Linked DNA regions of Saccharomyces cerevisiae S288C. The gene in region 2 interacts genetically with the main gene of each other region. Each region holds a gene or a part of one and is shown on either strand. Other genes may lie near its edges. The genes, in order: RPN13, HFL1 and MCH5.

Region 1 (2,994 bases), on a different chromosome or scaffold from region 2:
TTTGCCTATAATTTCCTTTACAGTTACCGATAAAGAAACAGCCCTAGGGTTCACAGAAACGCCTTCAGAAGAATCTTTTATTATCTTATTTATTAACCCGCCCCAACCTAAATCCGCATCCTTTGAAGAGTTGAAGTTTTGCGAATCCGAGGAATCGGAGCTATAAAGATAAAGGTTAAACCTCTGAGCTTTATTCGCAACTGATAGGCCGTTATAAAACTTGAATACCGGAGATATGTTAATAACTCCGGCAGCTAAGCCCTTTTTTACGTGGTCAATCTTATTCTCAGTCGATGAATTAAATGGAGAAAATGGGGAATGTGAACTTGACTCTTCGGTAGATATATTGTAAGATGAAATTTCCGGAGCAGTTTCTGTTGTAATTGCTATTGTTTCCTTCAGCACTACTACTAAGTATACTTTATTTTTATGGACTATCGTTTCCAAAATATTCTTGAATAACATTGCAGGAATTTCATCTAGAGCTGATTCCATATTGGACGACTTCGTCATGGTAAAAGACTCTGTTAAAACTTCGTCTTTGGTTCTCAAGTATACACAAATAGAAAGATCTTGATATTTAGGATCTGATATAGAGGGATCCCATGCCAGATCTTTCAAGTTAACCAAAATGCTCGATCTAACTGTGCCGAATAGTCCGTTAGATGAGGACTCATCATCGGACTCTACCACAGGTACAGTAGGAAAATTATTAGTTAAACCACAAAGCATTGACGATGACACTAAAGTTCTTAATTTGTCGATCTCGTATGAGAGCAATTCGCCAGTATCAATATCCCTGGCAAAAATTCCTTCGAAACCATAAGGATCTGGGTTTCTTGGAGTAGAGTTAGCAATTAGTTTATTCTTCCTGTATGTGGAGGACAAAAATTTTGCGATTTTAGTTCTTAGGGATGTTGCTGCTCTTATCAGATTTATTTTCTCAGCCTCTGTGGTTAAATTCATAGACAATCTAAATCGTATAGTGTCCAAATCATAATAAAGTTTTATCATTTTCCTATATATAGAAAACTCGCCAATTGAATACATAGAGTAAACATGCGAGGAAATAAGAGATAATATAGGACCCATTTCGTCCTTAAAGGACCTCTTTTGGTATCTGAAAAAGGGGAACGGAGGTCTCGGTGTCTTTCTTGGTTTACCAGTTGATATATCATCAGTAGAGCTAACATATAGGCTGTCACAAAAGGAGCGGGACTCACATTCTTTACTTATCAATGGTTTAAAATCCTCAGCACTAGGTGCTTTGAAAAATGGCATTGTGCTGACGGCTTTTTCTGCTTCAAAATGAACATATTTTCTAGGAAATATCACTACTTTCGGTTTCACGTCTGGCAGTACATCATTCGCCGAGTTCATATTCGATATGAATTCTTCAGGAAAGGGTCGTAAACATTGGTACGCTCTACACCATTTCTTATCCACAGATTCTTCGAAGACGTAAACTTCTGCACCCACATAAACGTTCGCATAATTGCTGTTTTCATATACCAGCTCAGGATACCTTTGTAAGGGAAGGAAAGATTTGACTAGCACACCATATATTAGCCGATCCGTGGGCAGCCAGCGCTGTGAATCCTGTTGCGACATTGTAATAGTAATCTCCCTAAAGAAAAAAAGACCCCTGTTTTATATGACTAATCTTCGGTCCTCTATAATTTCAATTGAAGCAATAATTGACTGAGTGGTGTACAAACGGTTGCTTGAACCATTTATATTATTTTCAACTCATCAAGTCATCCCCTCCTTGATATGCGTTATTGATATATTTCAGTTAAAATTCCTCCGTATTTCGTGATATATTATTCGCGAGGTGGCGAAAGCTTTGCTACTAAATACTCTACTATGACCAGTAGATTAGGTTCTATAAGGGTGCCAGAAAACTACCTAAGTGCTGGTTGACTTATAAATTTTAAAAGAGTGTTGATGAGTATGAGTTCAACTGTAATTAAATTCAGGGCTGGTGTTTGTGAATACAACGAAGATTCACGTCTATGTACGCCAATTCCAGTTCAGGGTGAAATCGAGATCAAACCAAATGAAGAGGAAGAATTGGGATTTTGGGATTTCGAGTGGCGTCCAACGGAAAAGCCGGTCGGGAGGGAACTTGATCCTATTTCTTTGATTTTAATTCCTGGAGAGACCATGTGGGTTCCAATAAAATCCAGTAAAAGTGGCAGAATATTTGCTTTAGTTTTTTCATCCAACGAAAGGTACTTCTTTTGGCTGCAAGAGAAGAACTCAGGTAATTTGCCCTTAAATGAATTGAGTGCGAAAGATAAAGAAATTTACAATAAGATGATTGGAGTGCTGAATAATAGTAGTGAAAGTGATGAGGAAGAAAGCAATGACGAAAAGCAAAAAGCTCAAGATGTGGATGTTAGTATGCAAGATTAAATCAAGGTTGTGGCATTTTTTGATAAAAAACTGAAGAGAAAAAATATACCATATCAACGCATTTGGCTGTGAACTTCTGTAAAGAGATACGGACCATAACAATAGGCATGATGATGGCATCTATAACTTCTATTGGAAGGTAAGTTTATTTTTCCCATAAATATGTATATATGGTCTATACTCTCAAATGAGCCTACATATTGTTGCATATTAACGAGGTTCCCATCTCACCGACCAACTTAGTTTATCACCTGCTTTAAATGGGATGATGCTTATGTCTTTGCCATCGCTGATAACCTGAGGGATAACTTGTTCTTTTTTGAATAATATTGCCTTATCTGAAGAAGCCACTTCGCTATCTTTAACCTCATAAAAGGAAATTCCGAAGTCGGAAACAAAGCCCTTTAAGTTCTCCAAGGCATTTTGCTCTTCAAAAACTTGGGCGATATAAGGGATCGCAAAAGATTGTGAGTAAACTCCTGCGCAAACACCCTCGTAATTGGCCTTATTTTGTACAGGATGAGGTGCTGAATCAGATCCAAAGAAAAAATATGGTTTCCCTGATACAGCAGCTTT
Region 2 (3,717 bases):
CCCTTCACCAGAACAATGAGCACCAACTATCTATCGTGGCAGCCAACCTTTGGCAGAAACTCCGTCTTCATTGGACTCACAAAGCAACAAAAGGAGGAACTCGGCGGTGTCGAATATCGTGCTTTGAGATTGCTGTGCTGCATTCTCATGGTATACTACATCGGATTCAACATTTTGGCGTTTGTGACCATCGTTCCATGGGCCTGTACGAGGCACCACTACTCAGAGATTATTAGACGAAATGGAGTTTCTCCAACCTGGTGGGGGTTTTTCACTGCAATGAGTGCATTCAGCAACTTGGGTCTGTCTTTGACCGCTGATTCAATGGTTTCCTTTGATACTGCGCCGTATCCGCTGATTTTCATGATGTTCTTCATCATCATAGGCAATACAGGCTTCCCAATTATGTTACGATTTATCATTTGGATCATGTTCAAGACCTCGAGAGACCTATCTCAGTTTAAGGAAAGTCTTGGGTTTCTCTTGGATCATCCGCGCAGGTGTTTTACGTTGCTGTTCCCCAGCGGCCCCACATGGTGGCTGTTTACAACTTTAGTCGTCTTAAACGCTACGGATTGGATTCTTTTCATAATTCTGGATTTCAACTCCGCTGTAGTAAGGCAGGTTGCTAAAGGTTATCGAGCTCTCATGGGCCTCTTCCAGTCTGTATGCACAAGAACTGCTGGATTCAACGTTGTTGACTTAAGTAAATTACACCCGTCCATTCAGGTGTCTTATATGCTAATGATGTACGTTTCGGTCCTGCCGCTGGCGATTTCCATTAGAAGAACGAATGTTTATGAGGAGCAATCGTTGGGACTATACGATAGTGGACAAGATGACGAAAATATCACCCACGAAGACGATATAAAGGAAACAGACCATGATGGCGAATCCGAAGAGCGAGACACTGTATCTACAAAGTCCAAGCCGAAGAAACAGTCCCCAAAATCGTTTGTTGGTGCTCATTTGAGGAGGCAACTCTCTTTTGATTTATGGTACCTATTCCTTGGATTATTTATAATATGCATATGCGAGGGCAGAAAAATCGAAGACGTTAATAAACCTGATTTCAATGTCTTTGCTATATTGTTTGAAGTTGTTAGCGCTTATGGTACAGTGGGTTTGTCATTGGGTTACCCAAACACCAACACATCACTATCTGCCCAGTTCACCGTATTATCGAAGCTAGTCATAATTGCCATGCTAATAAGAGGAAGAAATAGAGGTTTACCATACACTTTGGATCGTGCCATCATGCTGCCAAGTGACAAACTGGAACAAATTGATCGTTTACAAGATATGAAAGCTAAGGGTAAGTTGTTAGCCAAAGTTGGTGAGGATCCAATGACTACTTACGTCAAAAAGAGATCCCACAAACTGAAAAAAATAGCAACAAAGTTTTGGGGGAAGCATTAAAATCAAGTTTACCCCTCTTTACCTACATAAGAGCCAACGTAATTTTCTCTCAGTATTATATGTATTATCTCCGAAGTTTATTATTCTTTAACGAAATATAAAAGAAAAATAAGAAAGATTAAGACCCTAAAAGGTGTACCACTACGATTCAACAAGCACAACGAATCCTATCCGTAATATACTTTTGATTTCTGACTATTCTAGAAAAATTTTAGTTCATTTTTTTTCCCTCTTTTTACTTATTGTATTTTTCACAATTGAATTGCATTTTGTCCCCTACGAAAAAAGGCAGAAAACGAGATCTAAACCACTTTCAGATCAGAATAATAATAATAATAATAACCAACCAAAGCCATCAACAGGTCCACTAGAAGCATCTGCCAAGTTACGACCTAAGCAAAGGTTTGAGTGAAAAGTGAATTGCGACAGTACAATCACAAAAGTATAGAAACATAATTGTTATGGAAAACAAACTACTTTGTTGGTGGTTGTACTGGCCATGCGTGTATTCATCTATTATAGCTACCATAATATCTTTTTACACCATAACTAGACACTTATTAAATTACCGTAAACCATATGAACAAAGACTATCCATACGGATACTATTGCTCGTGCCCATTTTTAGTGTGTCATGCGCAAGTGGCATAATTAAGCCTGAAGCAGCTCAATTTTATGTCGATCCTATCAGAGAATTTTATGAAGCATTCGTTATTTACACTTTTTTCACATTTTTAACACTACTACTAGGAGGCGAGAGGAACATCATTACTGTTTTAAGCTTAAATCACGCCCCCACAAGACATCCGATACCGCTAATAGGTAAAATTTGCAAACCGATAGACTTATCTGATCCTTTTGATTTTCTTTTTGTCAAAAAAGGCATATTACAGTATGTTTGGTTCAAACCATTTTATTGTTTTGGTACATTGATATGCAGTGCATGGAAGCTACCCAAATTCGAAATATTTTTGAACGTTTTTTATAATATTTCAGTGACTTGGTCACTGTATAGTTTAGCACTATTTTGGAAGTGTCTCTATCCGGAATTAACTCCTTATAAACCATGGTTGAAATTTTTATGTGTCAAATTGATTATTTTTGCCTCTTATTGGCAGAGCATCATAATCCAGGGTCTAGTGGTTACTGGAAAGTTGGGTACGGGAAACCAAGATCGAACCTCTGGATATGTGTACAAGAATGGGCTCCTGTGTATAGAGATGGTGCCTTTCGCCATCTTGCATGCAGTAGCTTTCCCTTGGAACAAATACACAGCATTTAGCATACCTTATGGGGCCAGGATGAAATTCATTTACGCTTTGAAAGATTTTCTTGGTTGCGGTGATCTAATATGGGATTTTAAACAGACTTTGTTTGCTGGTCCCTTGTACTATAATTATAGGAACTTCGATCCTGAAGCCATGGATCTATTAAGCACTAGACAACAATCCGGTGCGACTATGGAAAGACTAAAGCATGGGCTAAGATTTACTGATAATGGAAGAAATAGTTATTGGGTGGCATATGGGAGTATAGATAACAACCTTGTTCCGGAATCAATAGAGGAATCATGGGAAGATGATATTGCTGGTCAGAGAACTTTTCCTGAGGATCCAAATTATCCGGTTGTTCACGACTACACGATGGGCCATCGATATAGTAGATCAATGAATGATTTAAGAAGAGATGTTCAAAGTAGGTCATCAATGGCTTGTTAAATGAGTCGTTAAATGTACGTATATACATAGTTACTGCGCTTTCGGTTATATACAAAATAAAACAACATCTACAAGCAATGCTTTTTTTTCAATTATTGTAACTTGGATGCTTATTCTAATAAAATGAAATAAATGCTACTGTAATTTTTTGCCGGAGGATTGGCTATATATGCAGAGTGGGAGTTGGACGATATCACCATTATTATTATTTTTCTATTATTACCATTGGACTTGTCTTTTGCAGCAACAAAAGTGGCAGCAGCAGCAACAGCACCACCACCAATGCATTTTGGCCTTGCCTTTTATAAGTTGTCAAAAAAAGTTGACCTCGAAAAGGGGAAAAAACATCAATTTTTCATTAAAAAATGCTTAGCACATTCATATGCAGTCCAAGAAATGGCAGTGGCTGGTATATTAGCCACTATCCTTGGTTTCAAACCTCGCCAAAACCCCTTCCAACCATGAACCTCCAGTATGGCTCTTGAGGCTCTACCAAAAGTGTTCGCATCCTTCATTATTTCGATGGAGACAGTTTCGCTGCCTCTAACCTGTAATACAGTCTTTATGCAATCCAACGGTG
Region 3 (3,937 bases), on a different chromosome or scaffold from region 2:
ACATAAAGGGAAGCTGGCCAGTAGATGATATTTATTGGAAAATTTCATCGTTAATGCCCAATTTGGAAATGGCTAGTAACATAAAAAGAACGAACTCGCAAAATGGCTTCGTATTGAAACCTTTAAAGTATAGGATAATCGACCATACTTTTGAACCATTGAAAGTACTAGTCCAATGTAAGGCTTTCACTAAATCAAAATTATCTCCTAGAGAATTCCGTGAGTTAGTAGGAACATTCACCTCACTAGTATCACATAGTCAACGCAACAAAACAGTATGCATTATGTGTTCCCCTCATATGTTAACAAAAGATACCTTAAATCTTATCAATAACATCACGCTTCCTCTGATATATTTACGTGTTGAGATGCTGAAAGAGAAGACTGACGGGCACTTTGACTTAATCAATTCAGGAAAACTAATTAATTATTACGAGAATTCATACGCCTCTACGTTAATGCAAGATTGCAAGATTTCTGAATGGCTGAAGTTGAAGTTGTACAAAAATAGTGACTTTAATTCGGAAAAATAAAAAAAAAAAAAAAAACATAAGGAAATTTTAATTAAATAGTCTATCTACACATTTCCTAAAAGAAAATATTATTGCATTACTTTTTTGAAGATCTATAAAGGGCACTGTCTTACTTTTTAAAATCTGACCCACTTGAAGCCAACACAGTATGCTCTCGAAATTATGTAGCAAACAGCGCTTACAAAAGTTGCCAAACCGCAAAAAATAATATAGTGTTGGTAATCGGCCGTTGTCTTGATAGAGATAATGGCACCTGTTATCGGAATGCCGACTAAAGTACCGAAACCGACAACGAAGTACATTGTAGAGTAACGTTTACCGAACTCTTCCGTTTTAGATATCTGGCCACAGCAAACAGGAAGTAAGGAGAAAACGCTTCCAGAACAAAATCCATATAGGGCACTAATAACGTACATATTTGTCAAATTGGTACCAAATGGTAACCAACCAACAAACATGACGATAAATAGAGTGAGTAGAGTTGCAATTGCGACGTTAAACCTACCGAACTTATCGCTCAAATAGCCAGGAACCCATCTCCCGGGTATGCCGCAGACATTTATAATCATAATCAAGGTGTAGGCGTCATTAGCAGAAATTCCATGGCTGGTGGCGTATGATCCATAATAAGTAAGAGCTGAATTAATGGATAACTCACTAAATACCGTTCCCAGGACACAAAAAAGATATTTCATATCCAGGAAAGCCTTCGCATCAAAACATTGCAGAATATAAACTCTGAGTATGTATCTCCAACGTGACTCACCATCTTTGGAATTTTCGATAACATGTGGTAACCTCTCTTTGACTAAAATGATTGACAGAGTTAGCAAAGCCAAATCTAAAAATCCTAAAGTTCTAATGCCCCAAACAAATCCATAAGTTGGATCAGTGTCTGACTTCATAGAGAAGAAACTACGCAACATAATTGGGAAAACGACGCCACCCACACTACCACCAATAGTGGCCATTGCCAATGCAGTACCACGTCTCTTAAAAAAATAGTGGGCGGGAACACTTACTAGGGGACTCAGTACAATACCATTACCGAACCCGCAGACAATGGCAAAGGACAGTATGAAGTGCCAATATTTAGTAGAGTTGGCGGTAGCGAACAGACCGGCTACATGAAAAACCGTGCCCACAATCATAATTGTCCTAAATCCATTTCTATCAAAGTAAGTACCACTAATGATACATGAGGCAGAGCAAACAAAAAGAAACAAAGAAAACAGCCAACCAATGGTAGAAACACTTTCACTGGATAATTGATTGTCCTGTAGATGACTTTCTATGACCCCCGTTGAGTTTAATAAACCAAAGCATGCAATTAGACCCAAGAAGCAACCAAATGTCACAACCCAAGCCTTGAATCCACCCTCCGGGAAGCTTTCAATTTCTTCATTGGAATCTTCTTCTTTGTCACTGTCGTGCGTGCTCGAGGTATTTTCACCCCAATGTGGTTGGCTTTCAATGTCAGTTCCTTTATTTACTTCCTTCTTGGTATACACCTTTGCCGACACCGACGTTGACGCGTAAGAGGCAGTAGTCTCTAATGACTCTAAATCATCAGCTTCTGGATCATAATGTATGCTATCCTCATCTAAATCAGGTTGCCGCAGTTGGTTGGTTTGTTCTTCTGGAACTATAGTGTCTTTAGGCGTTAAACTGTCTGAGCTCATTATTTTTCTTTTTAATCTATAGTAAAATCAGAGCTTTTTAATCGATAGTATGCCCCCGTGATCTTAGTTATTCAGATCTTAGTATGTTTTTACAGATATAACCTATCCTTCACTAACTTTGAAGAGAGAATTGCTATTTGAGAATTTCCAAACGTACATCAAGCAGTTTATATATCTAGTCCCCGTAACTACTGGGAGATCTAACCAAATAGCTTCTTTATTATATTCATTTCTCTGAGCAAAATAGATATTTTTGAAAAATTTTCCTCTAGTTTCTTTTCAGAGATGTCTCTCTATTATTAGCCTCATACAATACCGCCTAGGGCGATTCAGCAGAACAGTAATTATTCCGCTGTATTTCTTTTTCAGGTGCCTCAAACGTCTATAGAACAGCGCGCAGCAGGTTGAGAAAAATGTCAAAAATTCGATCCTTTCCTATCTTTTCTTTTTCGGACGCCAAAGCGCAGTATTCAACCGACGATGTTCGGGAAGCCACCCCCGAGATCATAATAACAGGTGCGTTGTGACTCTATTGTTAACACGAGGGAAAAGATGGAATAATTTTGGAGAAACACAATGTCGTTCTAGCGGGAAAAAAGGGCAAAACCAAAAAACACGGAGTCTGTCCAATATTAATTTGGTTAAAGCAGTTCGTATAACCAAACTTTATTGGCATTGTCCGTCGACTAGTCTATTTTTATTTCTCTCAACCTTTCGAGTACTTGGAAAAAGGAGTAGATCCGCTTTCAGCAATCGAAGCAATAGGCATTAGGGGTAGAGCAATCCTCAAAATCCTTGTGCCTCGACTGTGGGTTCTAGTATGATCGCTATTTTTTCTTATTCTTTCCTAGTTAAAGCAATAGTTGTTCGTTCTATAAGTTTTTCCGCGAGATCGTGGAAATACCTTAAAAAAGACGCGTGTATGGCTCCTGCATGCGAATCTTCTCTTTTGCTTTGTAATCGCATGTGAGATAATCAAGGGATTGTAGCCATTGTTTTCGAAAAATAATAAAATGACCGCACTTTATCCTCCACGGAGCGGAAGGCCATTCCCGTACGCATATTAATGTAAATGAGATAAATAACCAAATAAGTACCGCCACATCGGATTTTTAACCTTGATATGGTGCGGGGGTGGGGTAACAGTTTAGGATCTTGAAGTAATGCTAGCAACAGAGGTAGTAGCAGTAAATAAGATAAAAAAGACCTTCGAGGGTTTTTTTTTTGATTATATATTTGATATAGTACTAAGTGTCCTACCTTGAATGATGGTTTGTACTCAATAGTATTACTTCATATTATGCCTGACGTCCATCTTTTTTGGAAAGCCCCCATTTGTCATAACCGTACAATCCGGCAATTGTCAAGATAACACCAAACACCTGAAAAAAATTTAACTTTGTTTCCCAAAAGAGTGCCACGGATATAACAACAATCCTCTTCATGATGTTTGCTACCGAATAATTAATGGAAGATAGTAAACCGATCAACTGGAAAGCAAGCATTGCTTGGAAAAAATGGGCTATTCCATGAATCGCTACAAGGGCTACTGTTTCTAGCGTTAAATCGTTGATAACGCTACCGCCATGCATTAATTCGCCGGTTAAAAAAGGTAATAGGGTTAAAGAAAACCCAATGCAGGAGCAGTAGAACAATATGGTAATCTTATCCACTTGCAATGGAGAAAATCTTGTTTTGTCTAGACTCGGTTGCCCTTCCTTC

What was found.
Region 1: mutations in HFL1 (region 2) and RPN13 together harm fitness more than expected from each alone (negative genetic interaction), as found in Saccharomyces cerevisiae (one large-scale study listed by BioGRID).
Region 3: mutations in HFL1 (region 2) and MCH5 together harm fitness more than expected from each alone (negative genetic interaction), as found in Saccharomyces cerevisiae (one large-scale study listed by BioGRID).

What each region holds. Positions count from the first base shown.
Region 1 is NC_001144.5:964,514-967,507, reverse strand, and holds RPN13 (proteasome regulatory particle lid subunit RPN13), read left to right. Parts: upstream 1-1,947; coding exon 1,948-2,418; downstream 2,419-2,994. Other genes in the region: guanine nucleotide exchange factor DCK1, read right to left, coding at 1-1,611; URA4 (dihydroorotase), read right to left, coding at 2,629-2,994. UniProt on the Saccharomyces cerevisiae protein: Component of the 19S cap proteasome complex which acts as a regulatory subunit of the 26S proteasome, involved in the ATP-dependent degradation of ubiquitinated proteins.
Region 2 is NC_001143.9:529,066-532,782, forward strand, and holds HFL1 (Hfl1p), read left to right. Parts: upstream 1-1,880; coding exon 1,881-3,137; downstream 3,138-3,717. Other genes in the region: TRK2 (Trk2p), read left to right, coding at 1-1,419; MRS4 (Fe(2+) transporter), read right to left, coding at 3,485-3,717. UniProt on the Saccharomyces cerevisiae protein: Vacuole membrane protein that recruits ATG8 to facilitate the degradation of vacuolar integral membrane proteins during early-stationary vacuole turnover (EVT) when cells enter stationary phase.
Region 3 is NC_001147.6:889,218-893,154, forward strand, and holds MCH5 (riboflavin transporter), read right to left. Parts: upstream 2,216-3,937; coding exon 650-2,215; downstream 1-649. Other genes in the region: RRG7 (Rrg7p), read left to right, coding at 1-533; SLY41 (Sly41p), read right to left, coding at 3,514-3,937. UniProt on the Saccharomyces cerevisiae protein: Riboflavin transporter involved in riboflavin (vitamin B2) uptake. Does not act in the transport of monocarboxylic acids across the plasma membrane.